Linked DNA regions of Tamandua tetradactyla. The protein of the gene in region 2 purifies or fractionates together with the protein of the main gene of each other region. This does not show direct contact. Links are inferred from orthologs where the notes say so. Each region holds a gene or a part of one and is shown on either strand. Other genes may lie near its edges.

The links.
Region 1: the proteins of RHOD (region 2) and DIAPH2 purify together in Homo sapiens (co-immunoprecipitation; 3 studies listed by BioGRID and IntAct, with this or other methods). This does not show direct contact. The link is inferred for Tamandua tetradactyla from reciprocal best matches to the Homo sapiens genes RHOD and DIAPH2.
Region 3: the proteins of RHOD (region 2) and DAAM1 purify together in Homo sapiens (affinity purification with mass spectrometry; 3 studies listed by BioGRID and IntAct, counting the BioPlex papers as one, with this or other methods). This does not show direct contact. The link is inferred for Tamandua tetradactyla from reciprocal best matches to the Homo sapiens genes RHOD and DAAM1.
Region 4: the proteins of RHOD (region 2) and PLXNB2 purify together in Homo sapiens (affinity purification with mass spectrometry; 3 studies listed by BioGRID and IntAct, counting the BioPlex papers as one, with this or other methods). This does not show direct contact. The link is inferred for Tamandua tetradactyla from reciprocal best matches to the Homo sapiens genes RHOD and PLXNB2.

What each region holds. Positions count from the first base shown.
Region 1 is NC_135353.1:78,531,938-78,538,866, reverse strand, and holds the start of DIAPH2 (protein diaphanous homolog 2), read left to right. Parts: upstream 1-3,920; 5' UTR 3,921-4,312; coding exon 4,313-4,441; intron 4,442-6,929. UniProt on the Homo sapiens protein: Could be involved in oogenesis. Involved in the regulation of endosome dynamics.
Region 2 is NC_135335.1:7,317,048-7,324,512, forward strand, and holds the start of RHOD (rho-related GTP-binding protein RhoD), read right to left. Parts: upstream 3,009-7,465; 5' UTR 3,001-3,008; coding exon 2,869-3,000; intron 1-2,868. UniProt on the Homo sapiens protein: Involved in endosome dynamics. May coordinate membrane transport with the function of the cytoskeleton. Involved in the internalization and trafficking of activated tyrosine kinase receptors such as PDGFRB.
Region 3 is NC_135338.1:5,907,113-5,914,967, forward strand, and holds the start of DAAM1 (disheveled-associated activator of morphogenesis 1), read right to left. Parts: upstream 3,003-7,855; 5' UTR 1-3,002. UniProt on the Homo sapiens protein: Binds to disheveled (Dvl) and Rho, and mediates Wnt-induced Dvl-Rho complex formation. May play a role as a scaffolding protein to recruit Rho-GDP and Rho-GEF, thereby enhancing Rho-GTP formation. Can direct nucleation and elongation of new actin filaments.
Region 4 is NC_135333.1:45,659,978-45,667,772, reverse strand, and holds the start of PLXNB2 (plexin-B2), read left to right. Parts: upstream 1-4,784; 5' UTR 4,785-4,950; intron 4,951-5,457; exon of another isoform or gene 5,458-5,836; intron 5,837-7,795. Other genes in the region: protein DENND6B, read left to right, coding at 16-138, 368-463, 635-1,160, 1,245-1,334, 1,408-1,461, 1,616-1,725, 1,816-1,918, 2,027-2,101 and 1 more.

The DNA.
Region 1 (6,929 bases), on a different chromosome or scaffold from region 2:
ATACCATGAAATGGTTGGCTTAAACAATGGGGATTTATTAGTTTACAGTTTTGAGTCTGTAAAATGTCCAATTCAAGCCATCATGAAGGCAATGCTTTCTTCCCTTGGCTCCTCTGTCACATGACAAGGCCCATGGTTGCATCTATTGGTCTCTCCCTTCTCTTCCAGGTTTTGTTGATTTCATATTCTTGCTTCCATGGCCTTCTCTCTCTGTCTGAACTTCATTCCATTTATAAAGTTTAATAAAACCTCAATAAGATCATTAAGACCCATCCTACTTCTGTTACACCTTAACAGAAGTAGCATTATCAAAAAGTCTTATTTACAAAGGTCCCACACCTAAAGGAATGGATTAAAGAACATGTTTTTCTGGGGTACATACAGCTTCAAACCATCACAACCTCTAATTGGATTTCAAATGTAGATTAGCCTGCTGTGAGGATGGTAAAACCCAAATTTAAAATAACATTGTGCTGGTTTGAAACTGTTGTGTGCCCCAGAAAAACATGTTCTTTAATCCAAATTCAATATTGTTGGGTGGGATCTTTTTGATTAAGTTGTTTCCATGGAGATGTAATCCACCCAAATGTGGGCAGGAACTTTTGATTAGCTGGTTTCATGGAGATATGCTTCCACCCATTCAAAGTGAGGTTGCTTACTGGAATCCTTTAAGAGGGAACAATTTTGGAAAAAGCTTCAGAGCCAACACAGGCAGAGACATTTGGAGATATAGAAAGAAAATGCTCCCAAGGAACTCTTTAAAATCCAAAACCCAAAGGACCAGCAGATGCTAGTCATGTGGCTTCCCAGCTGACAGAGGGGTTCTGGACCCACTGCCCTTTTTGAGTCAAGGTATCTTTCCCTGTATGCCTTATTTGAACATTTTTATAGTCTTAGAACTGTAAACTTTTAATTTAACAAATTCTCTTTATAAAACCTGTTTCTGGTGTATTGTATTTAGAGCAGTATTAATGAACTAAAACAAACATCAGTGCATTTTTAGGTCTCCTAACACCTCCTTTTTTAAAACAACACCTATGAGACCTATGAGTTTGAACCTTTATGTTCTGAAACCAGTCTCTTCTGCTTCTTCTCTCCAACAGTCCTCCTACCCATTACCACCACCAGCACCACTACCACCATTACTACTACCACCAATTTCTTAACCGTTGGGTCCTTGCATATGCTATCATCATTTCCTTAGCCTGGAATTCTCTTTGCTTCCCGTCTTTGCATTATAATTGCTCAACAGATTTTTGTTTAATATCTTTCCTAATAACCTTAAAGCTCCAGGAGACCAGACCAGTCTGTCTTGTTTACCATTATACCCACAATGTCTGGCATAGTACCTAACACTTAGTAGGTTCACAACAAATATTTACTTACTTTAGGCTTCAGCCTAAGGCTGAGCCTCAAGGATCAACTCAAACATCATGTCCTTTGGGAAGGTTTCCCTGAACCACTGACACTCTGTTAGTTACCTCTCATGTGATTTATGGGCTCCCTGATCACATTTCTGTTATAGCATAATGCAGGTTTATAATAGTCTACTTCTTCCAGTAGACTATGAGGTTCTAAAGGGCAGAAACTGTGTCATCTTCATCCTTCTAACCCACAGCATTCTGTATAACATCTGTGTGCCTGTTTGAAAGAGTTGCATACCCCAGAAAAGCCATGTACTTTAATCCTGATTCAATATTGTGGGGTGGAAACCTTTGATTAGATTATTTCCATGGAAATTGACCTACTCAATTGTAGTTGTGAACTTTTTGATAGATTACTTCCACAGAGATGTGCCATGCCCAATTATGGGTGTAGCCTTTTGATTAGATGGAGATGTGACTTTGCCCATTCAAGGTGGCTCTTGATTAGTTTACTGGAGTCCTTTAAAAGGGGAAACATTTTGGAGTTGCTTCAGAGCTGACACAGATGCAGACAACTGGAGATGTGTGGAGTGCTGAAGAGAGAGCAGATGCCTAGTCATGGACATTGGGAGATTGAGAACCCAGCAGATGTCACCATGTGCCTTCTCATGAGTTGCTAAGCAAGCCAAAACCAAGGGTTGTGTCCCGGAGGAGCTAAGTGAAGGCCCACAGATGCTTAGAGAGGAAACCTCTGGCATCAGAAGCTGTAACCAATGGAACCAGGAATAAGGACCAGCAGATACCAGCTATGTGCCTTCATATGTGACAGACAATTGCCTTTCTTGAGTCAAGGTATCTTTCTCTGGATGCCTTAGTTTGGACATTTTTATGGCCTTACCAGTGTAAACTTGTAGCTTAATAAATTCTCTTTTTTAATAGTCTTTCCATTTCTGGTGTATTGCATTCCAGCAGCATTTAGCAAACTGAAACAACCTGTTATACTCGAGGAGCTCAATAAATGTCTACTGAACATATTATTAAGCAGTGTTTAAGCTTGAAGGATCCTCAGCTAAGGCCCACACCCACATGTCTCGAAGAGGAATTACATGAAAGCATTGGATAAGTAAGTCACATTTTTCTGCAACATCCACATCTACTCAATTTTTCAGGAGGGGGGGGCACAAGTAATTTCCTGTAAAGTATGTGTGTTTTTGTGTGTGTGTGTTTGTGTATGTGTGTGTGGAGCCAAATTAAAAGAACACATCAAATTTTAAGTCAAATAGGAACTTCAACAAAGCAACATTGTCCTTAGTGCTCCCTGTCCACCTCTCTGGAAGTATGCATTCCTTCTCCTTTGAGGTTCTTGGGTAGTTTACAACCTTTGGAGTAGGGAAGTCACACCTGCATGATTAAAGTTAATGACAATAAAAAAGCTGAGATTAAAAAGATTGGTTTCAGACCAGTGTAAGATCATCTAATGTCCTTTTTCACTCCACTGTCCAAGTTAGTTGCCTCATCACAAATATAGCATGGTCTAATCCACCTTAATGTATTCTCAATATAGATGTTCAAATACAAATTAGATTCAGTATTTTTCTTTTTTTTTTTTTACTTTTGCATATAGGGCATTTGGGCTGAAGAAGAGAAGGGCTGAGTAACAGCATATAGACATGTTTATAGATTTGGTATCTGAATTTACACTTCTAGCAAATGTTCTCATACTCTGATGGTGGTTGATTCAAATCATGCCCTGCCTCTCTAATGTCCTGAGTGTAACCTTTATTTTCAAAGGGCCCCATCTCAAAAGAATGCAAGAAATAAAACTTGGGCCTTTTCCTGAGGACAAAATGTTAGGTACAACTCAAGGACTAAAGACTAACAATACATGGAGAGGTGTTTGCTGCGGCTCCAAAGTACCCAGCATTTGTCTAGGGATTTACATTTAAAATAGAGCTTTAACACGCATGATATTCACTCCCAAATCTAAGCTAGTTTGGGAAACAGGAAAATGGCATTCAATATAAATGTCAGCTTCATAAAGGTGCATTGGCTAAAGAGCCTTAACACTCCCTCGGGATTAAGCTGTGAGCGCCTTCTTCTGCAACAACCCAGCAGCAGGGGAATAAAGGAACGACTATATTTCTTTGGTGGCAACACAATCATGGCAACAGAGAGCACCCACTCTTTCCACTTTGACCTATACAGTCTATCGAGGCAATTAATCAGCGCTTCTGTGGTTTTCCTATAGAATGCCAGTTGCCTTGCCAATCAAACCCTCCCACAGGATGTAGCAAGGCCACACCCTCAGCAGGGCCTCTGGGAAGGAAGGTGCTCTGGCTTACCCTGGTGGAAGCTGATATTCAGGTAGAGCCGCCAGTGAAATTTACACTTGACTCTTCCTGGACCTCAGTTTCCCTGTCTCTAAAATGGACCCTCCTCTCTTTTGACTAATTCCCTCCCATTTCACGCTGGGCCACTAGGAAGTGAAATCAGTGCTTAACCGCAGCTTCACGTACTCTGGTTAGGCGCCAGATACAGAGCTGGGCATGCTCAGTAGCTGGGGCAAGCTTGGCACCAGGAGTAGGAAGCAGCTTTCTGTGTTGGGGCGACTCAATGCGGGTACTTTGATGAATCACGTGTGTTGAGGGCCTCTTAAAGAGATAGGCACCTACTTTCCTTTCACCCTAAACACCGCCCAGAGGGCGGCGACCATGGTAATTGCAGCTGCTCAGGGGCAGGGCTTATCCTAGCGCTGAGCAGTGGTTACGGCGCGCTGCGTCAGGGGTGCTTTGCAGCCGGGAGTTCCCGGGGCCTGAAACGGCAGTTCCCCAGCCATACATAATCCACACAGGAAGAGGTGCTGCCGAATCAGCGCCGGGCAGCGGGAGCGTCCCGTGGAGCTTCCTCAGTTGAGGGTTCTAGGGTACAGGTGACAAGGCCAGAGAAAGATGGAGCAGCCCGGGGCGGCGGCGGGAGCGGGAGGCAGCAGCGAGGAAGCCGGTGCCGGCCGGAGCAACAAGCGGAGCACTGGGAACCGGGCCGCCAACGAAGAGGAAACGAAAAACAAACCCAAATTGGTGAGTACTCCCGCAGCCCCCGCTGGCCTTGAGGACAGGGAGAGCCCCGGGACCCTTCTGCTGGTGAACACAGGGGGACCCGCGGCCCCCTCCCAAGGGAGACGGCAACCTCCTTGTGCAACTCGGGAAGCCGCGTTGTAGAGGAGCGGCCACGCCGAGGCACTGAGGCGGCGTGGGGGCGGAAGAGCACCCCCCCACACACTTAACTCCTTTCTCACTCGTGTCAGCCCGGGAGGCAGTGCGCTCAGGCCAAAAAGCACTACCCCAATTTAGGGAGATCCGGAATGCTTACTGGGTAGGGTTTGTTGTTTGTCTAACTTGTGAGCGTGAGTGTGAGCCACCTTCGCGCGATTCCATTCCCCTCCCACCTCCTGCCAATTACTGTTTTGCCTCATGCTAGGGGTCAGGAGCAGAGGAACCTCTCTCCTTTTTAATCCAGGTACTCGGCGGCCCACCCACAGCCTTGCTAACCAAAAATTTAACAACTTAGGCCTTCAATCTTTCTACTTGACCAGAAATCTAAGAGAAGGGGCGTCTACGTGCGTTTCTCCCCTTGCCTCTCCATGTGCTCTCCCAAGTAACATTTCTTTGTAAGGGCGCAGGGAGCGTGGGAGTTGGAGGCTTGCTGAGGTACCATCATCAGCTGTCCTGTGTAATAGGCATAGTCACAGCGTTCTTCCACTTATTTGACCAAACATGCTCAAAAACAGTAGTCAGACTGCAAGTCTCACCGTCCTAATAGTGTGAAGCAGTGGAAGCAGTCCATTTCCTGTCCCTGGCTTGACGTGCAGAGGAATGAAATCTATGGGGCCTGGTATTAGATTGGGAAATACTGGAGTTTCTTCAGCTCATCAGTAAACTCAGTTCCTCTTTTTGTAAACTTTCTAATTTTGGCGGCCCAAGGTTAAGGATTTTCCAGCACAAATTCAAATAATTATTTCTGAAGATTCTTAGTCTAGACTTGAAGCACAAGCCACATGTTGCAAATCTAGTTTTCAGTTTTAACCAACAGTTTGATAGACATAGGGAGGGGAACGGCAACATATAAGTAAAGCTTTTCTTATGGCATTTCACCGTTTTGTGTATTTGTTTGTACTTCTTTCTCTTCCCTCATATTTGCCTTTCAGTTATCGACGGTCCTTATTGTAAAACAGTGATCAAAGGTTATCATTTCGAGAACCATATAGCCTTCCCTTATGTGGGAAGGGACTTGGTGGGATAGATAAAAATGACAGAAGGTTGAAGTCTCATCAATTCCATTTTAACATGAGGAAAATTGTGAACTTATTACTTGTTGTGTCCTGTTACCCTAGCATTTACAAGTAGAAGAAACTCAATGAAGGCTCATTGTGACTTGTCTGTGCTGGCAGAGGTTTAATGAATACTTCATTACTCTTTTTGGTCTCTGTCCTCTCTCTGCCCTGAAACTTAGAAAAGTTTTATGAGTTTATCACCAAAGCTTAAGGTATTTACAGATTCTGATGTTGTGATTTTGCAGTTTATCAGTTTGTGGTTAAAGAGTAAGCATCTTTCCTTTTTTTTTTATTTTTAAATGGGCTCAATGTAAAATTGTGGTTTAATCAGCAATTATGAGTTTAAGTAAGAATTAAAGTCAACTAATAGTTTCCACTAATAGTTTGGTACTTCCAGCAAGAAATTTTAAGTGTGCTGTCAAGAAAAAGCACTTATCTCTGTCTGTTAGTAGTAACACCTTGATTATATTCTTCCCTTCCCTTTGGCCATTTGTCCTGTTTCATCTTTTATATTTTACTTGTGTTGACAAGGTAACTAGATAGTTTTGAGATGGTATCACTTTCATTTCCCAGCCAGCTTCACTGTTCAGTGTTGAACATAGCTTGATATACTAGAACAAGTACTTGAATCCAAGTTTGCTAATATTGACATGAGCTTTCTTTTTTGCTCAAACATAGCTTTTGAGCTTTACATGATTTTGCAAACAGCTGGGTCAGAGTTAATAAAAAACAAATTTAGGAGGATATTACAGCACAATTTAAGACAAGTAAGTCGACCAAACAACGAGAATCGTCTTATTTCTTATGCAGTCTTTAGTGTTATCATGAAAGCTTTCAATGTGCTTTTCTGAAGCCTTTTTAGGAAAGAATTGATCTCGAATTCTTAACTTAAAATATTGCAAATAAGGTAAATTTTTGCCTGGACTAAATTTTATTTTGAGTATTGTGTTAATAAAAAAATCACTGTCATACCTTGAGAGAGACAGAGAGAGAGTGTATGTGTGTAAAGGCATTGTGAGGTGGGATTATAAAAGCCATGTGGTAATGGAAAATTGTTTGTGTAGGTGATTGTGGGAGATAGGGGTTCTTAAACTCCTGATATTGTCTTAAAATTTTTTGAGTGTATATAGGTACATTCATTTTTCTGGGCTCCATTGCTTCCATAAGCTTTGTGAAGGCCTCCTTCACTAAAGAAGAACCATCGACTTAAAAAGGATCGAGTAAAGGAAATGACT
Region 2 (7,465 bases):
GGTGGGGAGGAATTCAGGTTCCTGTTTTGGCAGCTGAGGAAGATGGAGAGGTTAGGGATAGCCTTAGGGTGGGGATGGGGGGGTGGGGGGTGCAACCCACCCTGGACTTGGCCACCCCATCACTCCCTGTACCAATAGGAACAGCCCAGGACCCCAACTGCCTCCCCAGGGCCTGCCCCAGGGCCCCTCCCCTCAAGCTCTGGCCCTCACCGGCTCTGTGACCTTGGACCAGTCACTTGGCCACTCTGAGCGGCAGCCCCCTTGCTGGTTAAACGGGAAGATGAAGTAGGAAGCCTGGCGTCCAGGTGAAGCCCTTAGCACCAAGACCCGGCACTTAGAGGCTCGCCAGTCACTGTCCATGCCCTCCAGGGGTCACCACCTTTCCCAGCCCCTTGCCAGCCCCTGACCTTTGCCCTGGAATGTGGGTGACAGCTGTCTCTATAATCTCCCAGGTTGACTACCCACTCACCAGGAGAGGGGCTGGGGCAGGACCCTCCCGATGGAAGCTCTCGGGAAATGTGTCAGCACTTTGCAAATGACCCTGGTGATGTCCCCAGCGCCCGTGAACTCTGAAGACCTACTGTGAGTGAGCCTCTGCAGCCACCATCCCTGATCCTTGCCACCTTAGGGTATCGGTTCAGTCCCCTTTTTCTGATGAGAATGTGGAGGTCCAGAGAGGGGGAAGTGAGACGCCGGACAGCTTGTCAGCGACGGAGCCAGGATGCTGTCCCCGGCCACCTGCCTTTCTGAGGTCACCAGGTCCAGTTCCTGCCCTGTCCCCGGTGCCTGCAGCGAGCAGGAAAGCCCCATCCAGAGTTCGTGACTGCCACAGCACTTCCTTCCACTGGGGAACATCATCCTGGACACCTCGTCCACACCTACTGTTGTAACCTTTGAATGGTCAGGCAGGGTCACCCTTTGTCCCAGAAGTGTCACAGGAACCTAATCTTATCTGTTGAGCCAGAGAGACCAGCCCAGGCCAGGCCAGGACAGACATGACTCCGGCCCCAGGGCTGCCATCATGGGGTTCGGGGACGGACCGATGGAGCATTACAGGTCAGGGACACAGCTTGAGTGAGGGGTGTCAGGGGTTCTCCTGAGCAGGACACCCTGGGGGTCCTGGCACAGACCGGGAAGGATGCAGCTAATATCAGAAGGGACTGACCCCCAGGTATCCCCACCTGCCTCGGGAGCTCCCTCCACCCCGACGCCCCTGCCAGTGGAGGGCCAGAGAGGCCTCTCCAAACCCCCAGCCTGCTCTCTGCCCAAGCCTCCTAGCTGCTGCCTCCCAGGCTGAGGGCTGCCTGGAGGAGGAGACCTGGAGCAGGGGGCAGGAGGAGGCTGGGTCCAGCAGGCAGAGCACTGGGATAAGGGGGGCTGCAGAGAGTGTCCAGGCTGGAGCAGGGAGGGGAGGGCCAGCTTCCAGACCAGCACTGCCCCTGCCCACTGCCTGCCCCAAGGGAGACTACCCCTCTGGTCTCAGTTTTCCCACCTGTACAATGAGCACCTTCCCAGCTCTCAGATGGGTGGTTTGTTTAACAAAAGAGGCTGCTCTTGGCACTCACCAGGGGGTGGAACATGGGCTTGTAGGTCCACCCCCTTGGTGACAAACATACCCTCCCCGCCCCTGGCCAGCTCATGTGTCCTTCAAACCGCTTGCAGTGCAGTGATTGCAAAACGCTTAGCGGCCCACCATGCTGCAATTGCGAGGTTCCCACCAGGGCAGCGTCCAGGGGCCTGGAAACACGGCCACCCCACAACTGACCAAAAACCCTATGTCTGGCCAAATGGGCTGACGTCGGCTCAAAAAGTCCCAAGTTAAGAGCCGGCCCCACATTGCCCCAGTTAAAGAAAGCCCCAAGGCTGGCTGTCACCAGGCCGGCCTCTCCCACCTCCCCTGCCAAGACTGTCCAGCACCCACCCACACAGCCCCGGGGGGTTCGGAGGAGAAAGGGAGGAAGCAGAGTTGCTGGAAGCAAACCCATGGATTCTTGGGGTGGCTGGACTGGGGCGGCACCTGGGGGGATCCGGCCCTGCCCTGTCCCGGTGCCTGGAGTGGGGGAGGGGGGTGAAGGAAGGATAGTCACCATGCCCAGAGTGCCCACGCCATGCCAGGCACCGCACAGAGCCATTGAGCAGCGTCACCTTATTTCTACTTCACTCTTGGGGTCCCTCCATCCCATGAGGTCGCTGGGAGAAAACTGAGGCTCAGAGAGGCTGAGCGAGTTAGCGAGGGTCATGTGAGGAGTTACAGAGCCGAGGTGCCCTCCCAGCAGTGTGACCCCAGGGCCGGTGCTCTTACCCTCCACTGGGATGCCCAGTGTGGGGGCCAGAGCTGGGGGTGGGGAGGGAAGAGAGTACCCTAAAGGGACAGTCACCAACTCCCCTGAGTCCTACTGTGCACAAGCTCAGTGCCCACTGCATGACCAGTCTAAATCCACCCCTCACAGAGACCCTGCGGAGTGGGCACGTTCCTATGGTTCCTATTATACAGTTAAAGAAATGGGCACAGAGAGGGTAGGGCACTTGCCCAAGGGCACACAGCTCGAAGTGGCAAAGCTGTGATTTGATCCCAGGCATCCTGGCTTCCGAGCCGGCACCGAGCCAAGCCGTGCCACCAAGCGCTCCCAGGGCCCGCGACGGTACCCAGTGTGTCTGGATCGGTCCCCGGTGCCTTTCCCTAAGTAGGTGCCCTCCTCCCCACTCTGCAGATGACATCCCTGGGGCCTTCAGCCCAGATGGCACAGCGAGATGGGGAGCTTGCTGCCCTTGACCCCGCATCCCTGGCAGCCCCTTCCCCAAGCCCGCACCCCCCACCCCACCCCTGCCCCAGGCCACCGGCCGGCCCCGCGGGGCGCTGGCACTCACCTCGGGGAAGGCCCCGTGGGCGAACACCATCAGCAGCGACGTCTTCCCGCAGCCGCCGTCGCCCACCAGGACCACCTTGACGGACGGCACGCCCGGGACCTCCTCCTCGCCCGCGGCCGTGGCCGCCTCCATCGCGGGGCCGCGGAGGGGCCGGGGCGCGCGGCGGGGTCGGGCCGGGCGGCGGCGCAGGGACCGGCGCGGGGCAGGCCCGGCGGGGCAGGAATGTGGAAGGGGCGGGGCGGCGGGAGGAAGTGCGGGCGGGCGGCCGCCCGTCCAGGTGACAGGTCCCCCCGATCGGCCGATCGCCTGGCCGGGGTCCCCCCACCCCCCTACCTCGGGGGCTCGCTCCCCTTTCACAGCTGCTGCAGAGCACGCATTTATTGAGCGCCTACTGTGTGCGGGCGCTGAGGCCACAGGAGGGATCCGGGCTCAGCCTCTGCCTACAGGAGGGGGCTCTGGCCTGGTGGGGAGAGGACAAATGGCTGGACAGTGAAGGAGGGGGTGGGGGGACAGGATAAGAGGAGGCAGGGAGGTGGGGGGTGGCCTACCAGCTCCGGGTACAAACAGGGACTGGGTCACAGAGTGGGAGGCTGCGACCTTGAATGAATGAATGAATGAATGAATGAGCATTTTCCCTCCTGCCGCTGGGGACAGGATTCACAGCCCTCCCTCCAGGCGTTTCAGGCCAGGTGTGGAGGAGGTTGTTCAGACACGCCCTTCTGGCCTGCCCTCCCCCTACCAGCCCTGGGAAGCTGTCAGTGCAGGTGGATGACCACCTGTGTCGCCTCTGGCTGGGGACTGATGGAGGGGAAAAGGTGGAGCCTTCCAGCTAGGAAGTGCCTAGCCCAGAGCCCAGTGCATGGTGGGGGCTTGTGTGGGGGTGGTCCTTATTATTTAACCAATACGGATGACCTGCCCTGCCCCCCCATGGTGTTCAAGGGACTCTGCAACCTTCAAGACCAAATGCCTGCCTTGAGAAGCCCCAGCCCATAATGGAAGTCTGCCAGGAAAACAGGGCAGTCCGAACGGGCATGGGGGAAGGGGATGGACAGCAGTGGGACTATGGAAGAGGGACCACTTGCCCAGCTCGAGGGATCAGGAAGCCCTTCTGGGCAGAGGGACCCGCTGGCCAGAGCCTGAGGGAAAAGCGAGACAGTCAGCTGGAGGAGGGAGATAGGTGTTTCAGACCGAGGGAACAGCATGTGCAAAGATATGAAGGCAAAAGAGCGGTGGTTTGGGGGGGCCGCAGCCACTCCGGGCACCTGATCTCCCCACCTGTTAGTGGCCTGGTGTAGTCTTGGGTTGAAATCTCTTTCTAAAAAGTGCTAGAGTCTCTCCAGATCCTGGACTGTTTTCTTTGAAGCTTTAAGGGACGATGGTCGGAAGTTTTTGGCTTTCACCTCTCCCTGCCCCTTGCAGGCTATGACTCATCTCCCAGGGAATTCAAAGTCAGGCAGGTGAGAAAGCACCTTCAGCCCCCTTTGAACCTCACTGTGGCCGAAAGAGCCAGCGAGGGCAGGAGTTAGTGCTCCCCCAGTGCACAGAGAGGTAGAGTAACTTGCCCAAGGTCACACAGCTGGAGCCCAGATCCCTGACTCCTTTTCCAGTGCTCACCCACAGAACCACGCTCAGCAGGCTGAACGGGGCCTCGCCTGGATGGAAGGCGTGTCCCCAGGACATCACCACCTTTCAGGTGCCCCTTCCTCCCCGAAACTGCCATAGGGCTGGGTAGTGACTTGGCACCTGTCTGGGTGTGTAGCTGCTGAGCAGGACTCCCCGCCCCAAGGAGTGGTGGGGAGAGGCCCTATGCTCGGCTGTCCCGTCATCCCCCATCAGCCCCGTGGTGGCTGCTGTCATTGGGTGGCAAGGCTGGGAGACAGATGGGCCAGTCTGGGGGTGGAGGGAGCTGAGCGTCAGACAGTGGAGTTTGGCCTGGTTGCTATGGTGATAATTGCTCTAATGACACCCTGGCCGTGCATTCCAGTTTCACCGAACATTTCCTAGTGACAACATCGCCCATTAATGGATGCCAACCACATGTAGATACTGTCCGCCAGGAGGCAAGAATTATCAGCCCCATTTTACAGATGAGAAGCCCAAGGCCCAGGGAGCTTAAGCTCTTTGTCCGAGGCCCACAATCAGTAAGAGGCAGATCTTGAAGGTGAACTCAGGTCTGCCCCAAAGCGGGGCTCTCTTCTCAACATGCTCTCACGCAGCTCTCAGCCTGGGCACAGCTCACCCACCCCATATCATGGATTCAGGAACCAAGGTTCAGAGAGAGGCGGTGGCTCGTCTCAGGCTAGCAGGATGTAGAGGTGGAATTTGAACCCAGAGCTCCTAACATCAAGCCCCAGCCTCACCCCCACCCTCTCTGCCCCTGCAAGGGGGGAGCTTGGTGAGTGGGCCGTGGAATCTGCCTTGCTCGGCAGGGAATTTCCTGGAACCTCAGGCCTTGCTGGGGCCTGGACCACACTTTCTCTGCAGTTTATTTTTGGCATTGGGAGGTGACTCAGGTCACTGTCTGCCCCAGCCACGGTAGCTGGCATGGTTCCAGTCGAGTGTGGCCACTGTTTACTACCAGACTGTGGGTGACCCAGCTCCTCCAGCCCCCACCCACCCTGAGTCCAGAGTCGGTTGGGAACCCAACTCAGTGGGTCACTACCCCACCGACCCCAGAAGAGCAGAGGTGGCCAGGCCAGCCCTTGGCCCTCAGCAGAGTCCCCTCTGCAGGGCTGCAGGTCCTTTGGCCCTGAGCTGGGCGGGGAGCAACTCGGATTGCAGCTGACCCAGCTGGGCAGCCTGAAGAGGAGCCCTGGGGTCAGGCTGGCCCCCAGCAGCTGCTCAGGATGTTATGTCTAATTGACTGCCTGGCTGCACAGACACGGGAAGGCAAGGAAGAGGAGGGAGGGTAAGAGAGAGGGAGGGAAAGAGAAAGGAAGATAAGCTGGCTCGAAAAGAATACATAAACTGAAGAAAAGAATAAAAGGAACCAATGACTTCCTGGATGAGTGAATATAGGACATGACCTGAGGTTCTGGAGACAGGTGGCCACTCCCCAGCCGCCACCTGCTGCAGCTTCGCGCTTCCCGGCACCCCATCCAATCTCAGCCCATCGGCCTCATTTTTTATCTGCCCCCTACCCAACCCCCATCCTCCGGTGAGGCCGGGGGGACTCTGCTGCCCCGGCTGATCCTCTGCTGCCCCCATGTGGCCACTCTGCTCCCTGCACAGTCATCTTCCTGGCTGCTGGCTCCACCCGGTGTGGGATGTTTGGGGATGGGTGGACCAAGGGGGAAGTAGGTGCCAGGTAGGTAGAACCTCAGAGGTCCAATCCTACCCCCTGGGATGCCTGGGCAGGGTGCACTGTTCCCCCCCCCCCCCCCCGCCGCCCATGCTTCCCCTTGTGGCCCCATTCCACCCCAAACTCCTGCTCTGAGAGCCGTTCACCTTGGTTAGCCCTTCTCCACCCAAAGCTTTGGTCACACACTTATGGAGCACCTACTGTGTGCCAGACACGGCACGTGTCATTTCAGTTCATCCTGTGAAGCAGGGACAGCTCTTAGCCTCCTCTGACAGATGAGGAAACTGAGGCCCAAAGGTGCCATGGACGGTAAAGGGAGGAGCTGGGATGCAAACCCAGGCAGTCAGGCTCCAGATTTCTGAAAGTCAGAGAGGAGGGGGCCCTCAGAGGCCATCCCATCCAATACCCTCACTCGTCAGATGGGGAAACTGAGGCTCAGATAGGGGAAGCATAAGTAACTGCCCAGGCCTCTGGAACCCTGACAGGCCTCTCCTCAAAGTTTCCCCTTGTCTGGCCTCCCCCAGACCAACTCAACCCTGGCTGCCGTTTCACTGCCTCACCATTACTGATCCTTCGGGAGGGGCAGAGAGGTGGGGGGAGCCCCCGGGCCCAGGCCTGGCGCTTGCTTAACCTTCTGGTTTGTTCCTTCAGGTGTCTGCAGATGTGGACCACCGATGGCAGGAGAGAAGGGGTCAAGGTTTGAGCTGCTGGAAACCATGGCTGCTCAAGTAGCTCCTCTTGCTTCTCCCAGGTGACAGACCTGGCCCAGGTGCCGGGCTAGTCAGGTCAGCGACCCCCATACCTGTCCTTTCAGGTGGGACTTGATCTATTCCTGAAAGCTCCCAGACAGAGGGGCCTGGAGTTGGAGGAGTGGGTAGAGCAAGGGGCCGGAGGAACCGGGGGAAGTCAGAGAGATGATGGGAATGAGTAGGGGGATACAACGGAGAAAGAGGAAAACAGCTTCTCTTAGTCTTAACTGGCCTGACCTCTCTCCTGGAAAGTTCCTTGATTTGGGCCCTGCTGAATGAGCCTGAAACCAGACTCTGGCAGCTCAGAGGCCTTCTGTCTGCCCCTTACTGACCAAGGTCAATGCTCACTCACCTCCCTCTTGTCACCTCCAAAGCTCCTTAGAGCAGTTCCTTCCTCCCTCTGACCTGCTCCAGTGCAAGACCCCTCTGTGGCTCCCCGGTGCCAGCAGGACAAGCACCTACTGCCTCAGCCCAGACATCCCAAGCGTAATGAGCCCAGCCCACTTGATCTCTTGAGCCTCAGTGCCGTGGTGTCAGCTCCCCAGAC
Region 3 (7,855 bases), on a different chromosome or scaffold from region 2:
ATCTCTCATTCTCCAATATTTCCTCTTTTATAGGACTCCAGTAAACCAATCAAGACCCACTCAAATGGGTGGAGACATGTCATCCCCTAATCCAGTTTAACAACTGTTCTTAACTAAATCTCATCAACCAGGGAGATGATCTCATTACAGTTTCAAACATACAGTATTGAATAGAGATTATTCTACCTTTAAGAAACGGGATTTATATCAAAACATGGCTTTTCTTAGGGGGCATATATCCTTTCAAACCAGCACAATATCCTTTCAATAATGAAGTTGGGCAATATAACCAATGTTTAAAGTTTCAAATGTATAGGTTGAGGCATTTGGGTGGTAAGAAAAAGTGTAATAGTGAATTATCCCTTTTCTTGAATATTGGAGGACCAAAAAATAATAATAATAATAAGGTGTATTGCATCTTAGCAGTGATTTTTATCCAATCTTGTTTTCAAATACCGTATGTCTGCCAGGGCCTTAAAAGCCATCATGTAAATTACCAGTAAAGTATAACATATGCAAACATAACAAAATCACTTCCATAGTGACGATACTCCAACCATATGGATATTAGTCATAGAAAGCTAGAGGTTTTATGATATTTTTTTAAGTTGCTTTTTTTTCCCTTTGGTCTAGGTAGTCCGTACTTAAATATCAGCCATTTTCCTTTTTTGCTTCTTCCCTTAAAATTTTATGTATCCAGTACATTTAATTGAGAATTGTATGTTTTTTATTCCACTGTATTTTCTTTTCATTTTTTAATTATTGTTTATATTTTCAATTATTAAGTGTACAAAACAAAGTTACATTGCTGGTCTTGTAAGAGCTATACAATTTTCCTAAATGTATACCTATAACTGCAGCAGTTCACCTATTTCAAAAACTTGGAATTCTGTTCATTTGTTATTCTTAAGACCACCTCAAATTTAAAGGCTACCTTAATGTACGTTTAAAGTGTATTATAACAGTGTGGTAGTTAATAAAACACTATTTTTTTTTCTTTTGAAAAAAAAATATATATATATATAACCACAATAATTTTTTAAGGGAAGTAGACTTTTTCAGATAAACAAAAGCTGAGAGAATTCACAGCCAACAGACCTACACTATGAGAAATGGCAAGGTAGGTTCTCCAGACAGAAAGAAATTGATACTAGATAGAAATTTGGATCTGTACAAAGAAACAAAGGATTCTGAAAACAGCCAGTCTGCGGGTAGACAGAAAACCAGATGCTGCCTCACAACGCCCGCAGCCATGGGCGTTTAAGATGTGTGTCTGTAGATGTCACCGACAACGCGTAGGGGTCAAAGCTGTTCCCGATGCTGCTATTACATATCCTCCAGCCTCAGCCATGCTCCTGAAGCTCTCTGAGCTATGGTCTCCGCAGAATAACACCCTCTCTTGAAATGTCATCACGTTATGTAAAGTTATGAAAGTGCTTTGGAAATTTCAGCGCTTTCATTCAGGAAATATTTACATAGTACCTTCTATACCGAGTTCTAAGCCCTGTGTGCCTGGGCATCAGTTTCCTCATTTGCAAAATGAGGATCACAATAGTATCCAACCCACAAGGCTGCTGCAGTACATGCAAAGTGCAAAGAACAAAGCCGGGCAAGAACCCCAATGGAGGTGTGCATTATCACCATCCTCATCCTCACACTATGACTACTGCTGCTGCTGCAAGGCACATGTGATGAAAAGGAGAGACTTCGTTCTTGCCTTCAGAGACCGTATATTTTACCATGTGTGGTCAAGGGAAACATTATTTTGGAGATAATTTGTTGAAATTGCATACCTGGAAATACAGATATATAAAATATAACACGCCAGCCTGACAGGAGACCTAGGTCCTCATTTGAACTCCAAACCTTAACTTTGGTTAAGTTATTTAACCTGTTGGAGCCTTAGTTTATCATTAAAATAAAGAGATGGGATGAGAATCCTCAAGATCCCTTCCAGTGCCAATATCTGACGAAGTGAAACAGGAGATCCATTTTAGAAGCTTGTGGTTCCTGACTTTATCTGAGCAATTTAATACTTACAGCATCAAATCCCCACATAAGAAACAACTGATTTTGAGGATGGGGAAAAGGACAGTTTATGATTTAAGATAGAATTCTAGATCTACAATTAGTATCAGAGATTGCACATCACTCCCAAGGTCTGATTCATTCACCTAATAATGGAAGAGTGTAAAAGCCAAGTCGTTTCTACCCATTGCCAGGTAAACCCTCATTTTGATTGAGAAGCTACGGAATATAATTAGAAGAAGCAGGGAAACTCCTCCTTCTGGTTCCAGTGTTTGAACAGACTCCAAGGAAACAGAATTCTTTCTCTTGCCTATTATTATACAATTGAGAAGAGAACTGGCAGTCCATTGTAGAAGTTCCTTATGCATGAAAGACAAGAAAAAATATGTACACAAGCTAGCTCTTTCTACCTGTTGTTTATATGAGCACATACCACAATTTGTAAGCAAGCTCTCAATTTCAAACACAAAAGCACCCACAAAATTTAATTACTTCACATCTTACAAAACACAGATAACTTTAACCAAGTTACCAAACCTAGTGTTTTCCTCTGTGGAAATTTCATTCAAGAAAGGGGTCCCACAAGAAGAAATAAAAGTGTCTGAACCATAAGAGACTCTATTAATCAGGCTAATCTTCCAACAATAGTTGTGAAAGAGCCCTTCCTAAAATTTTCCCAATGTTTCGCAGAGGCAAGCCAAAGAATTTGCAGAATCTTATAAAATTAAAAAGTCCTTATTGATTTTGCTGGAGAAAACATGTTGTGCAACACTAACTCAGAAAAAAAACTGTTTCTGTGCATATGTATAAAATGTTGTTCATGACTTCAGGAAGTTCTCAAGTTCTCTGCAGTATACCATGGGCTCCAGTACAAGAACCTCTAGTTTAAAGCAATCAACCAAAATTTGCAGGAAAGGTCCTTAAAACACACAAATTTGAGAGTAACCTGTAGCTGTCTTTGGGACCCCAATCTCTACCTTTAATAGAGATTTTTTTTTTTTTTTTTTTTTGCAGGGGTGGGGAAGCGCATGGTCCAGGAATCGAACCTGGGTCTTCTGCAGAAGTGTCCCACTTTTTTATCTTCACCTTTGGTAACTATTCCATCTCCTTCCTTCTCCAGGCGATTCCAATGGGGCAGGTGGGCAGCTGGCACTGGTTTGGCTAATCGAGGCACCCCATTCCCAAGTCAGAGTGACTGGTTTAGGGATAGACACACAATAAAATGAGACCCAGAGGTCTTATGGTGGATTTAAACTGGAGAAAAGAGGGTGGCTTTCTACTTCCTGGGATCACAAGACAGAAGGACCACAGACACCTGGGATTTGAAGTAGCCATTTTTTTCCACCATGTTGTAGAATGATGAGTGTGGATGAAATCAGAACGGAGAGATGGGGGAAGATGGATGAGGGGGTGAGGAGGTTTGATGACAACATATAACTACTAGATCCAGCTGAGTCTCAAGTCAGATACCCCTTGAACTTCCCAATGTATGATTCAATGAACTTCTTTTATCTTGGGCCAATTTAAATGGGGCTTCTGCGCCTTAACAATGTGAAGAACTGTGATTCATGCTCTAATTAACTAAATGAGATGGGAACTAACATTTACTGAGTGCCTCTGAGATATCAGAAACCATGTGGAATATTCAACATACAACTTTTATAGCCACACTGGGAAGTAGATACCATAGTTTCACACAATAAAGTAAGATCTTGAAAGGCAAAATAATCAGAATCCATCAACCTAGAGGGCATCTACAAGGGCTCATACCCTGCCTGTCTCATCACAAAAGCTTATTCTCTTTCTATACCATCATACCCCTAAATCTTTACATCTTTCAAGCTGCTGCATTATTAATTTCTAAGATTCAACCCAACAGTCAACCTAACAATCAAAATATAAAGCCAAACACAAATGTCTCATTTTAGGAAAGGCTCAGTTTTGCTTTGCTCATACATCGATATGAATGATGGAGTACCTGTTTTCTAGACGGTTCCCATTTGGAACAAAAATTTGTTCCAAAATAAATTTTGCCAGACTGACTTTCCAGGAACCATAAAGCAAGCCTACTGGGGACTTACTCTCTGATGCTTAGAAGAAGCACAAGTTCTGGAATGTATGGAGCTGAAAGATAAAGAAAAGTTACTAAAATGTAAAAGTTACCATCGTTGCAAAGAATGTAGCATTCAGAAAGGACTCCCCTTTCTCAGAGACAAAACACAATCTGAAATTTAGCCAATCATCTCTAATTCTGTTCTCTGCAGTAGAGTTTGAGAGATAAAGAATGTGTGGCGAGGGGAAAGATAGAGTGAAGACAGGAAAAAAGTAGACAACAAAGCAAATTTAAGAAGACTGTCAAAAATCTGCAAGTTCTTTGGAGGCTACAGAAGAAAAAGTATGATAAAGGTATCAAACAGTGGGGAAGGTAAAGAAGGGGAAGGAGAAATTAAAATAGGCAAGGGTGTGGTGACTGAAGAGTGCTCGGCTTCGGGCATAGAATTCATTGGCTGTACCTCCCTTTCCTTCCATCTGGAAAAGCACTAGTATGACAACAAGGAAAGTATGTTTAACTAGGCATTACTACCTTTTTTTTTTTTTTTTTGCAGGACCTGGGTGTGACAGGTGGAAACTAAGTCTCCTCTTTGAGTAACAGCCAATTGTCCTGATTAGAGGTTGGATTACTTATTTTATATAACCACACACAAAAAAAATTGTAAGTGTTAAAACCATAGGGTGGCACCCTCTTTAATAACAGTGTAATAGTATATTCCCTTCATAAGGTAATTCATGGTTTTCTAAGTGCTTTTGCATTCACCATATCACTTGATTTTCTCAACAACCCTAGGAGGAGAAGAGTGTGAGGTACAGGCCATCAGATATTGCTTTTATTTCAGCTTCACAGATGAAAAACTGTCTCTGAGTGCCTAAATGACGTGGAAAGGGTCAAATCACTCCTAACCAGCAGAGCAAGAACTTGACCTCAAGACTTACATTTTGGCCATTTTTGCAATACTCACCATTGCTAGACACCCTGTCCTAAAGTCATCTAATAAAACAAAGTCTAAGACTCTTTTGCTTAAAGTCTCTGCTGGAAGAAACATCACTTAAATTATGTTTGAAATAGATGATTCCCTTGTATCATCAACACACTTGATATTTTAGAAGGCAATACATTTTACTTCCAAGTAAAGCTTATTGTACAAAAACATACCAAATTGCATATTCTAATGATTTAGATTACAACTTCACTCACTCATCTACTCATCTAATCATTTGTTAAGCAGCTATGTGCCAGGGGCCGTATGTGAAGGATCAGGAATGCGAACCTGAATAAGTCATGCTTTGTGTTTTTGAGAAGTAAAAGAGATAAACAGGAGGAGGCAGATCTGCAGAGGATCACAATAACCGCAAGTTCTGTGGGAACGAAGAGGAAGGAGAAGCTAATTCCACCCAAGACTGTCTCAACAGAATGGGAAAAAATACAGGTTCCATGCTTTAAGGAGCTTGCAGTCTAACAGAGGAGAGCCTCATGAACGCAATAAAAGTATGAGGCAATAGATACGTGAATGCCACAAAAGAGGTATAACCTACTATAAAGGTTCAGAGAATGTGAAAGCCGTTTCCAATTAGGATGATCTCAGAAATATTTTGAAAAAGGGGAAATACAAAGGGAGCTTTAGAGAACTGTTATACCCACCAGGAGGAAAGGGAGTCAAAAAGCTACAATAGCCAGTCAGTTGCCTTACTGCCTCCTGAAAGCTCCTAAGATACTTTGGGTTCCATTTCCATCTGACAGTTATCTAGCCCAGGACTGGGGTGTGACCAGTCTCTTTTGAACTTTCTCTCATTCACCAGGTCATAAAGGTCTAAAAAACAACTGAGAAATATCCAAAACACTCATTACCAGAATCTGAACCAATCTATTAAGAACATGAGTCATTTCTGCCTACAATATTTCTCCCTAAATGGCCTTCGTATCCATTAATAAAAAAGACTCAGTGTAAAGAACAAATATGCTACTCTTCCAATTTGCCAATTATATCTTCACAAGCCATTCTAAGCAGAACATTTTGTTTTGAAAAAGAACCAAGTTATGAATGCTTCATCTAAAAGCAAACTAATAGCTTCAAAGGGGTCTATGGGGTTCACTGATTTTCCCTTTTCTAGGAAAATTGGAACTTGTTTATTTGCTTAACTAAAAACCATCACAAGTTATAAAAGGGATATGAGACATCATCTTACCTATCTTCCTTAAATGACTTCCTCAAGGTCACACACTAACTTTACAACACAGCAATTAAATACATCTCAAGGAGTGATTCCAAAAAGATAACCAGTAACCGGGGAGTCTGACCTAGCAAATGAACTTCAAGCCTCCTTATGAATGCTTTGGTTTGATTATGATGTTGTTTTGAATATTACTTGGAATTTTATCAAGATTTTAATAATCCAATTCTAATTGCTCAGTAGAACAAATATTTCATTTTCTTTAACCCTTTCAGTTGAAGAAAAGTAGCAATCCAACTCTAGATGGTAAACTCTTTGGGGGAACCAACCATGAGCGTAGAATCTGTGATCTGTCAAATAACTGAAATAACTAGTCTCTAGGCTCTTCCCATGACCAGCTGGTGAGTGCTTTGGGGAATGGTGTGGGAAGAAAGGAGAAAGCCCAGGGACTACCTGTTCTTTTGGTATCAGGAAAGTTCAGACACGTGGCGGTATCCTAGTGAGGCAACATGTTGCCTATGTCTTCCCTATTACAAACATTTTATAAATTCAAGTTTCCAAAAGTGTACCAAATAGCATACAGGTATCCTTGAGTTTTATTCTTCTTTCACAAGAAAAAGGACAAAGTACCTCATAGTCTCAGTTCATTCTATTTCCTAATGTTGCTGCTAAAGTAAATCATTCCACATTAGCCTAAACCGAATCCTATGCTAGCTTAACCTGGCCAAGGGTAGTCAGGAAAAACTCTTTCAACTTTCAATTCACAGAAATACTTCTCTTAATAATGCCACTGCAAGGCTAAATCAGTACCTGAATTTTTTTTTTTTTTTTACAACTGTGCTAAAATGCATCCTGCCACCTGTGAGAGCCCTCTCTTTTGGAATGTTTCTATCACACTACAAATAGTTCTCACTCCACGTTCCCGTCTAGCTGCAAACAGAGTGAACTAAGCTTCCAATTAAAACAGCTAATCTTCAACCACTATACCCTTTCCACATTTACTCCAGAATGTGTGGGTTAAAACAAATTTATTCTACACCCAGGTGTCAGCAAACTACAGCCCATGGGCCAAATCCAGCACCCCTTCTCCTGCCAGGAATCTTTGTAAATAAGGTTTTCTTGGATTATAGCCACACTCATGTTTAGGGATTGTCTTTGGTTGCTTTCTCACTGCAATGACAGGGCTGAGTGGCCGCCACAGAGACTCTATGGCCAGTAAAGCCTAAAATTTAGACTTTTTTCCCTTATAGAAAAAAGTTTGTAGTCCCCTAGTCTACATTAAGTACATGAAAAAAAGAAGTTTGGTGATTTGTATTCAGAAATGCATTTCAAAAATAAATCCATTCATTTAATACATACATATTGAACTCCTTGGGCACTGTTCTAGGCACAGGAGACACAGCAATGAACCGGAAAGATGAGGCTCTATTCTCCCGGGAGTCTTAATCTTGTGAGAGGAAACAGACTAACATAATTACTCTAATTTCAAATAGATAAAGCAAGTTATTTAGAGACCGGCCAGGGATTCTAAAGGGGAAGTGTTGCTTTAGAATATGCAAAGTCATGGAGATGACATCTGGGAAGATGCTATTGGAACTGA
Region 4 (7,795 bases), on a different chromosome or scaffold from region 2:
ACACCTGCCTGCCAGGTGCTTCCAGCCAGTGCTGATGCACGTACAGATGCTGTGGGAGCTCGTGCTACTCGGGGAGCCCCTGGTGGTCCTGGCACCCTCACCAGCCGTGTCCTCAGAGATTGTGCTGGCTCTGACCAGGTGCTTGTCCAGGCCCAGAGCAGCTAGATAGGGGCAGGGGGTGGAGTCCAAGATGGGGGCAGCCAGGGGTGGGGACAAGGGGGATGAGGGCAGCTGGGAATGGGGCCCAGGGATGGGGTTCCAGGCACATGGCTCAGCAGTGTTGCCGGGCCCTAGGGCAGTCCCCGCTGGAGGCTGGGAAGCACCTGGGCCCAGACTGAGTCCCGCCCTGCCCGCTGCCCCTGCACAGCCTCCTGCAGCCCTTGCGATTCTGCTCTGACTATCGCCCCTACTTCACCGTCCACGACAGTGAGTTCAAGGAGCTCATGACCCGCACACGTGCCCCGTAAGTGCCTCCCAGCCTGTGCATTGCCCAGGCTGCCCCCCCCCGCCCACCCTCCTGCACCCCCCCCGCCCGCTCCTGCCCGCTCTGCCTCTGCCTCTGCTTCTGCCTCTTCTCTCTAGACCGAAGGTGGTCCTGGGAGTGACAAACCCTTTCTTTATCAAAACGCTCCAGCACTGGCCCCACATTCTCCGAGTGGGGGAGCCCAGAATGTCAGGTGAGGTTGGCCGGGGCCTCCCCCACCCTCAGCCATGAGGGGAGATGGCAGCTCCCTGGGGGTACTGCAGCACTGAGCCCCACCTGGCATGTCGTAGGGGACTTTCCTAAACAGGTCAAGCTGAAGAAGCCTTCGCGGCTTAAGACCCTGGACACCAAGCCAGGTCTGTTGCCCCCCTCCACCCCATCCCTCACCCGCAGCTGCCCACCTTCCCCTTCCCAACCTCAAATTGGGTCTGCAGTGGAGCTCAGCCCTCTCACCGTAGGGTGTTCTTGGCTCGGTGGCCTCTTGGCTTTCAGGCCAGGAAGGTTGGGTCATGAAGTTACAGGCGCATTAGATGCCCTGTTACCCAGGGGAGGGGCTGCCGGGCAGTGGGGAGCCAGGCCGCCCCGGACCAGGCAGCTCGCCCTCTGCCCAGGCCTCTACACGTCGTACTCAGCGCACCTCAGCCGGGACAAGGCACTGCTGAAGCGGCTGCTAAAGGTTGGTGTCTGGGGCAGGGGCGCAGATGGGCCGGGAGTGTGGATGGGACCTGGGGCGCCAGGTCTGATGGAGCCCCCACCACAGGGTGTACAGAGGCAGCGCCCCTCAGACACGCTGAGCGCCCTGCTGCGGCGGCATCTCCTAGAGCTCACGCAGAGCTTCCTCTTTCCCCTGGTGAGGCCCACAGGTGGGGTCGGTGAGGGTGGTAGGGGTTGCGGTGGCTGGATCTCACCCCTGCCCTTCTCAGGAACACTACATGACTAGCCTCATGCCTCTGCGGAGGAGCGTGGAGCCCTGGAAGGTGGGTGCTGGGGAGGGCCGGGCATCTGTGCGGGGCTGGGGAGGCAGAGAAATGGGACAGATGGGGGTGGGGGCACGTCTGACATGGGTTCTCTGGGGAGGAGGGCCCCAGCCGAATGGGGGGATGCCCAAGCTCACCCCCAGCCTCTCCTTAGTCGCCGCCCCAGATCCGCCCGTTCCTCCAGGATGACTTTCTGCGCAGCCTGGAGCACGCAGGACCCGGGCTCACCTGCATCATCAAGGGTGACTGGCTGGGCCTCTACAGGTGGGCAGGGTGGGGACTTGCGGGGGGAGGCAGGGGCCATATCCTCCCCTCACTCCGTCATCTGCTGCCCCTGCCTCTCCCTACCCGCAGGCGTTTTTTCAAGTCCCCCCACTTTGACGGCTGGTACCGTCAGCGGCACAAGGAGATGGCCCAGCAGCTGGAGGCGCTGCACCTCCAGGCTATATGCGAGGCGGTGAGGGCCTGGCGGGGCAGGGGCAGGGTACAGGGGACAGGGGACAGGGGGCAGGGGGCAAGGGGCAAGGGGCAGCCAGCGTAACAGCAGCCCTGCTTGCTCCCGCAGGACCTCGAGGCTTGGATGAAGGACAAGTCCGAGGTGGAGGTGGTGGACCTGGTCCTGAAACTCCGGGAAAAACTGGTGAGGCCTGTACCCTGTCCAGAGGCTGGGGATGCTGGGTGGCCCGCCCATGACCCCTGAACCCAGCTGTCCCTGCAGGTGCGGGCCCAGGGCCACCAGCTCCCGGTGAAAGAAGAGATACTGCGGCTAGCACAGCTGTACCTGGAGAAGGTCATGAGCTCTCTTCCTAAGAACCTGCAGGCCGTGTTGAGCCTCCCCTGAGGCTGTGAGGGCCAGAGGACTGGATCCTGACAAAGGCTTTCTCCACCAATGCCCCCTCCCATTTGCCCTCCTCCACTCATGGCCTAGCTCCCACCGCCCCACAGTAAACACAGCATGTGGGCCTACAGCCTGTCCCTGATTGTCTGTTGGGGGGGAGGTATCTGCAGCCAGAGCTCGCCCTGCCTGCGCCCACCTGCCCCTGTGGGGTTCCACACGGGACGGGGCTGGACGGTGTTGCTGGGGGGCCCTGGGGGAGAAGGGCTGAGGCGGAGAGGATGAGGAAGATTTAGGGGGTCTGTGAACATGCCCTTATCTGGACTCTCGCCTGAGCCATCCCCCCTTCTTGGGGGCAACTGACGGATGACCCCCCTGTCTGGCTTGGGGCTCGACTGGGAGGGAGGAGTCTACCCCCCCCCCACCGCCCCCTTCTGGGTGCGGCCCTTGGCCAGAGCTTGGTTGCGGACGGCCACGAGGGGGCGGTGTGGGGCCGAGGGCGGCTGGGAGGGCGGGCCCTCTCAGGCCCTGGGCGGGGCGGTGCTGCTGTGGGGCCACCCCACCCTCAGCCTGAGTGCCCTGGACTCCAGCCCCGGCTCCGGGCTCAGCTGGCCTGCGGCCTGGAGCCTCCGACCCTCAAGCTCCCGAGAAGGCCACACTGACTGGTCCGACTCTCAGCCCTGCGGGGCCTGGCATGTCTGGCCCCTCCCCGAGCGAGGTGGGGTGCAGTGGTCCTTGAAGCCACCTGCAGTCCTGGGCGCTTGGGCAGCGGGTCCTGTGGAAGTGGCGCGGGGCTGCCCGGGGAAACACGGTGGTGGGAGGGGGTAGACCGCGTTTGCCCCTGGCTGTCTGTTCAGGGGCTCCACAGAAGTCCCCTGACGCCCCCAGGGGTGCTGACCTCCCCCAGTCCTGGAGGAGCTACAGGGAGGTATCTGGGCTGGCCTGGCAGCTACTCACTGCTGTGACCACACTGAGTGAGGGGTATGCTATCTCCCAGGGCTTCTAGGGCTGCTAGGGTCACTCCCCACCGAGGGGTCTGCCTGGCTATCCCTCAGCAGTTGTTCCTCATTGATCTGGGAGCCTTGGGGGCCATGGGGGGTGCTGACAGGAGCTGTGGGTTCCCAGGGGGTTAGGTGGGGTTGGGTGACAGGAGGCTGAGACAGACAGAAGGAGGGTGGGGATATTGCTGGGTGGGAAGTCCTGCTGTCCGCATCCTGTCCCCAGACCCCTGCGCTCTCCACAGGATTCTGTCACTCTGGGCCCGCCAAGCCTCTGCACCCACCAGGGCAGACTGAGGCAGCCCCCTCTGCACCCAGGGCCTGGGACGGGTTTATAGGACCTCTAGCCCCAGAGGTTTGCAGGGGTGGCCAAGAGGGTGGGACCAGGATAGGAAAGGAAAGGTTTTCACCACTAGGCTTCCTGCGATCTATTTAAAGACTTGCTTTTGGTCTGGGGTTGCATCCTTCCCATATTTTTGGTATTAAAATGTCATTTTATGATGCAATGCTTGTCTTTTAATTTCCTTTTCTGGCAGGCTGTCAGACCCCAGCAGTTTGGGGTCCCAGACTTGGGCTGTGGTTTGGGCTGGACCAGGATCTGCCTGGGGCCGGGGTGTGGGGACAACGGGGGAAGTCTGCTCCGTGGGGGAGATCTTCAGGATTGGGGTTGTTCCTTGGAGTGGGGTGAGCAGTGAGGGGTGTGATTCCTGAGGGCTAGTGAGGGGATGGGAGGAAGTGAACATGTCTGTGTGGAGAGAAGGTCCTCAAGTGGGCCAGGGCTGGACTGGAAGTGGGGAGTGGCCCCTAGTCACCAGGGCTCCCTGGGTCTTCCACCCACTGGACTGGCAACTCCCTGGAGGGGTAGAGGGAGCAGAATTGGCCCCACACAGGGAGGCCCCCACGTTTTCTTAACTCAGGGGTCCCAGGGACATCAGGACCAGGCACCAGGGTGCTGGGCAGGGCTAGAAGCAGCTCCCCTACCAACCACCCTGTACCTCCAGGCACTCAAGGACCAGTCTGGTGGGGCCGGTGGGTTCTGGAGGCGGAGAGTGGGAGGTGAGTTGCAGTCAAAGATGTGAGCTGTGAGAGGACCCCAGGGGAGCCCTCTTCCCCTCAGAAATTTAGGAGTGGCAGGGCAGTTGGGTGCTGGCGGCTGGCCAAGCCTGGAGGAGAATCCCCCAGCGCTGGGGACCTCGGGACCGGCTCGAATCCCAACCCTGGAGCCGGCGCGGGGCACTCCCCGATGGTGCCTGGCCGAGGGGGTTACTCTGTCTGGCGTGCCTTGGGTTGCTCCTGCCCGGCAGTTCCGCGGCGACCCGGGCTGTCGGCTGGGCGGGCGTGGGGCGCACGGGGAGCGCGGGCCTCTGTCTTTCTCCCCTCCCTCCTTTCCCTACCCCCGCGCTCCTCCCCTCTCTCTTCCCTTCCCACCTCTCCTCCCACCTCCCCTTCTTCCTCCCTTCCCTCCTCCCGACCCACCTCCCTTCTCTCCGCGCTCCTCTCCTCCCTCCCTCTGTCGGGGGCGGGGCCGGCGAATCCCGCGCGCTCCAGGGGCCCCTCCTCGGCCACACAAAGGCCTGTCTCCATGGCAGCCGCGCGGGCCGCAGCGCGCAGGAGCGCGGCCTGGGCGTCATCGAGCCGCGGCAGCCGGACATGCAGGTACCCGGCATTGGGGGACGCGGGACCCGGGGCGATGAGCCTTGCAAACAACGCCCGCTCCGTGGCTTGCTGCGGGGACACCTCGGCGGCGGCGGTCGGTCTGTCCTCCCGGCCCGCTCTCTTCCCAGTCTGGGGAGGCCTGCGGCGCGGGGCTGGGGACGCGCGCCTGGCCGCGCGGGGACTCCCCCGCCAGAGCTTCGGAGCTCTCCGGCCGACCCTGGCCCTCTGAGCAGCTCCGACTTCTCGCTGGCCCTGGAATCCCCGCCCGCCCCGCTGAGGCCGGGGCCCCGAGACCCTGGCCACTATGTGCGGGATTGGCCCTGGCATGAAAGGGCCGCAGCCGTCCATCCCCAACCCTTGCCCGAGGTGGCCTCCCCCCGCGCGCCCCTCAGACTCCCGTGGGGAGCCCCGCGGACGGGCTGCAGGGTGGTGCAGGGTACTGGGTGCCGCTCCTGGGGTCTTGCGGTGGGTTGTTGGTGTTGTTTGGGCCATACCTCCCGGCACAGGAAGCCTCAGAACTGGGAGTGAGGGGTGGGGGACAGCATGCTCAACTCCTGGTGCCTCCCCTGCTGAGTACCACCGTGGGCCTTTTGCATCCCTTCTGAGGTTTGGCAGGCTGTCTGGCTGATTTGGGGGGGGGTCTTTTCTCCCGGATCTGGGGGGTGTCTAAGCACAAGAGTCCCCTAGCTTCCTGCTCAGACGGAAGGAACTCTTGTTCCTCCTCCTAGGCCCTGGGAAAAGGGAAGAGGGCTCTGTCCATGTGGCCTGCTGGCAGTGGGGCCCAGGACTGGGGTGCGGCTGTACCCCAAAGCTGGCAGGACATGCCCCTAGGGAGTCCCCCTGTGGGTCTGACAGCAGCCCCCTGCACCTGTGAAGCCACCTCCTGGTAGGAGATCCTTCCTGGGCATGGGGTGGAGGATGTGGCTGGGCCCGGGCCTGTGGGGCCTCCCTGCCCCTACCCAGTGGCCACCAGGCCTGGGGGAGCCGGCGGGGCCAAAGACCGTTCCTGGGAGGCTGAGAACAAGCAGGTGGACCCAGTCGCTCTGTCCCCCGCCCCACCCTGCTGCCCATCTGGGTTGCCCAGGGCCCCGGAGGGTCTTGGCTGCCGGAAAGAGTAGTTACTGAGAAAAACAAGCGTTTGGAATGTGGGTCCTCCCCTCCCCCGCCGGCCGCCTGCCAAGGAGGAATTATTTTGGATTATCCAGCTCTGTGCAGCCGCCTGAGGGGGAAGGCTGCGGCCGTGGGAGACAGATCCACTCTGGGACGTGGGCTGAGTCCTGGGAGCAAGGGGCAAGCCCGGGCAACACCGCCACCCGCGGCTGCTCAGACCGGTCAGGGGTGGGGTGTGAGCGGGGTGTGTCACCCCTGGGCTGGAGAGGGCCCGGAGGGTGGCCCCAGCAGGCCTCTGCAAGTCTGTCAACCCCTGGGAACCCCAAGCAGGAAGAGCCCTGGACCTTCCCCTCAGGGCTGGGAAGGGGCTGGGCCTGGGCACCCCACTGTCTTCCAGAAGCCCCATGACATGGGCTCTGCAGCCCTCGAGGTTGGCTAGGGACAGCCCTCGGGCAGACTGCTCAGACCCTTGGGTGCCCACGGGGTGATGAGGGGTGAAACAGTGACAGTGGCCAGGCTGGGGGAAGGGTGGCCCGGGCCCCATGCCTTCCTCTCCCCTTGCACTGGACAGCACAGGTTACCGAGTCTCATGGGTGCAAGGAGCTTCCTCTGCCATGTTGGGGTGTCCTAACTGGGTGGGGTGTGCTGCATGGGGCCGCATGACCAGGTTGTGCCTACCACCGGGGAGCAGAGCTGGCAGCTGGGCTGAGCACAGGGATCCTGGGGGCCTAGCCCCAGCCCTGGCCAGTGGAGCAGAAGAGATTGGATTGGAAAGCACCAGGGTGGGCTGCCTGCCCTCAGAGCAGTCCATATGGCCCGCAGAGCCCCCTTCCAGGATAGGCTGGTTGCCTGCACTCGGCCATTCGCAGGACGTTCTGCCAACTGGCCCCTGCCTGGGACCTAACCCAGGGGGCCACAGCCAGAGGTCCCAGTCGGTCAGCGGGCATGGGCAAGGTGTGGCCTCCCAGGCGGAGGCTGTACCTTCCAATGCCCTCCCCAGTTCTCGGCCTGGGCAGGACCCCATGAGGTAGCCCTTGGCCATCAAGGCGTGTCCCTGAGCTCATCTTCCTGAGAGCAGGAGGCAACACACACACTAGGTCCAGGGCCTCCACCAATGGGGACAGGTCATCAGAAAGGGTGGGTGCTGGTCAGGCAGAGGCCCCCCACTCCTGGCTAAGGGCTGTTTGTGTTTGGGGTGGGGGCACCAGGTGGGGTGAGGCCAGGCTTCTGACTAATTGTAATTGTCTTTGGGCCTTAAATTCTGGACTTGGTGGCCTGTAGTTTGCCAGCCCTCTCCGTGATTTGGGGTGCCCCTGCCCCCACGCCTTCTTCCCCCAGGCCATGCAGTGTTTCCACATTTTTCTCCTCAGGGCAGTTTCACATCCTCCTTGATGAGTCCCCGCCCCCCACTGCCCTCTGCTGCGTGGGCACAAGTGCTACCCGGTCCTGTGTCCGACACACCGCATCCTGCCCCACCCCATGTCCCCCCAAGACCTCTCCCCACCCCACGTACCCCACTGGCCCTTTCCCTTCCCCATCGGCCTCTGGCTGCCTCCCTAGGCTGTTCTCAGCCATCCCCAGTGTTGAGTCAGCGGCTGCTGAAACAGGCCACTTCCCCACTTCCACGGGGTCCTGGCTGGGGCAGGAGGTGGGGGAGCTCAGCCACCAGCCCCTGGGCCTTGGAGCGCCACTGGGAGGTGCAGAGACCCTGCCCCGGGGCAGGCCAGCCCAGTGA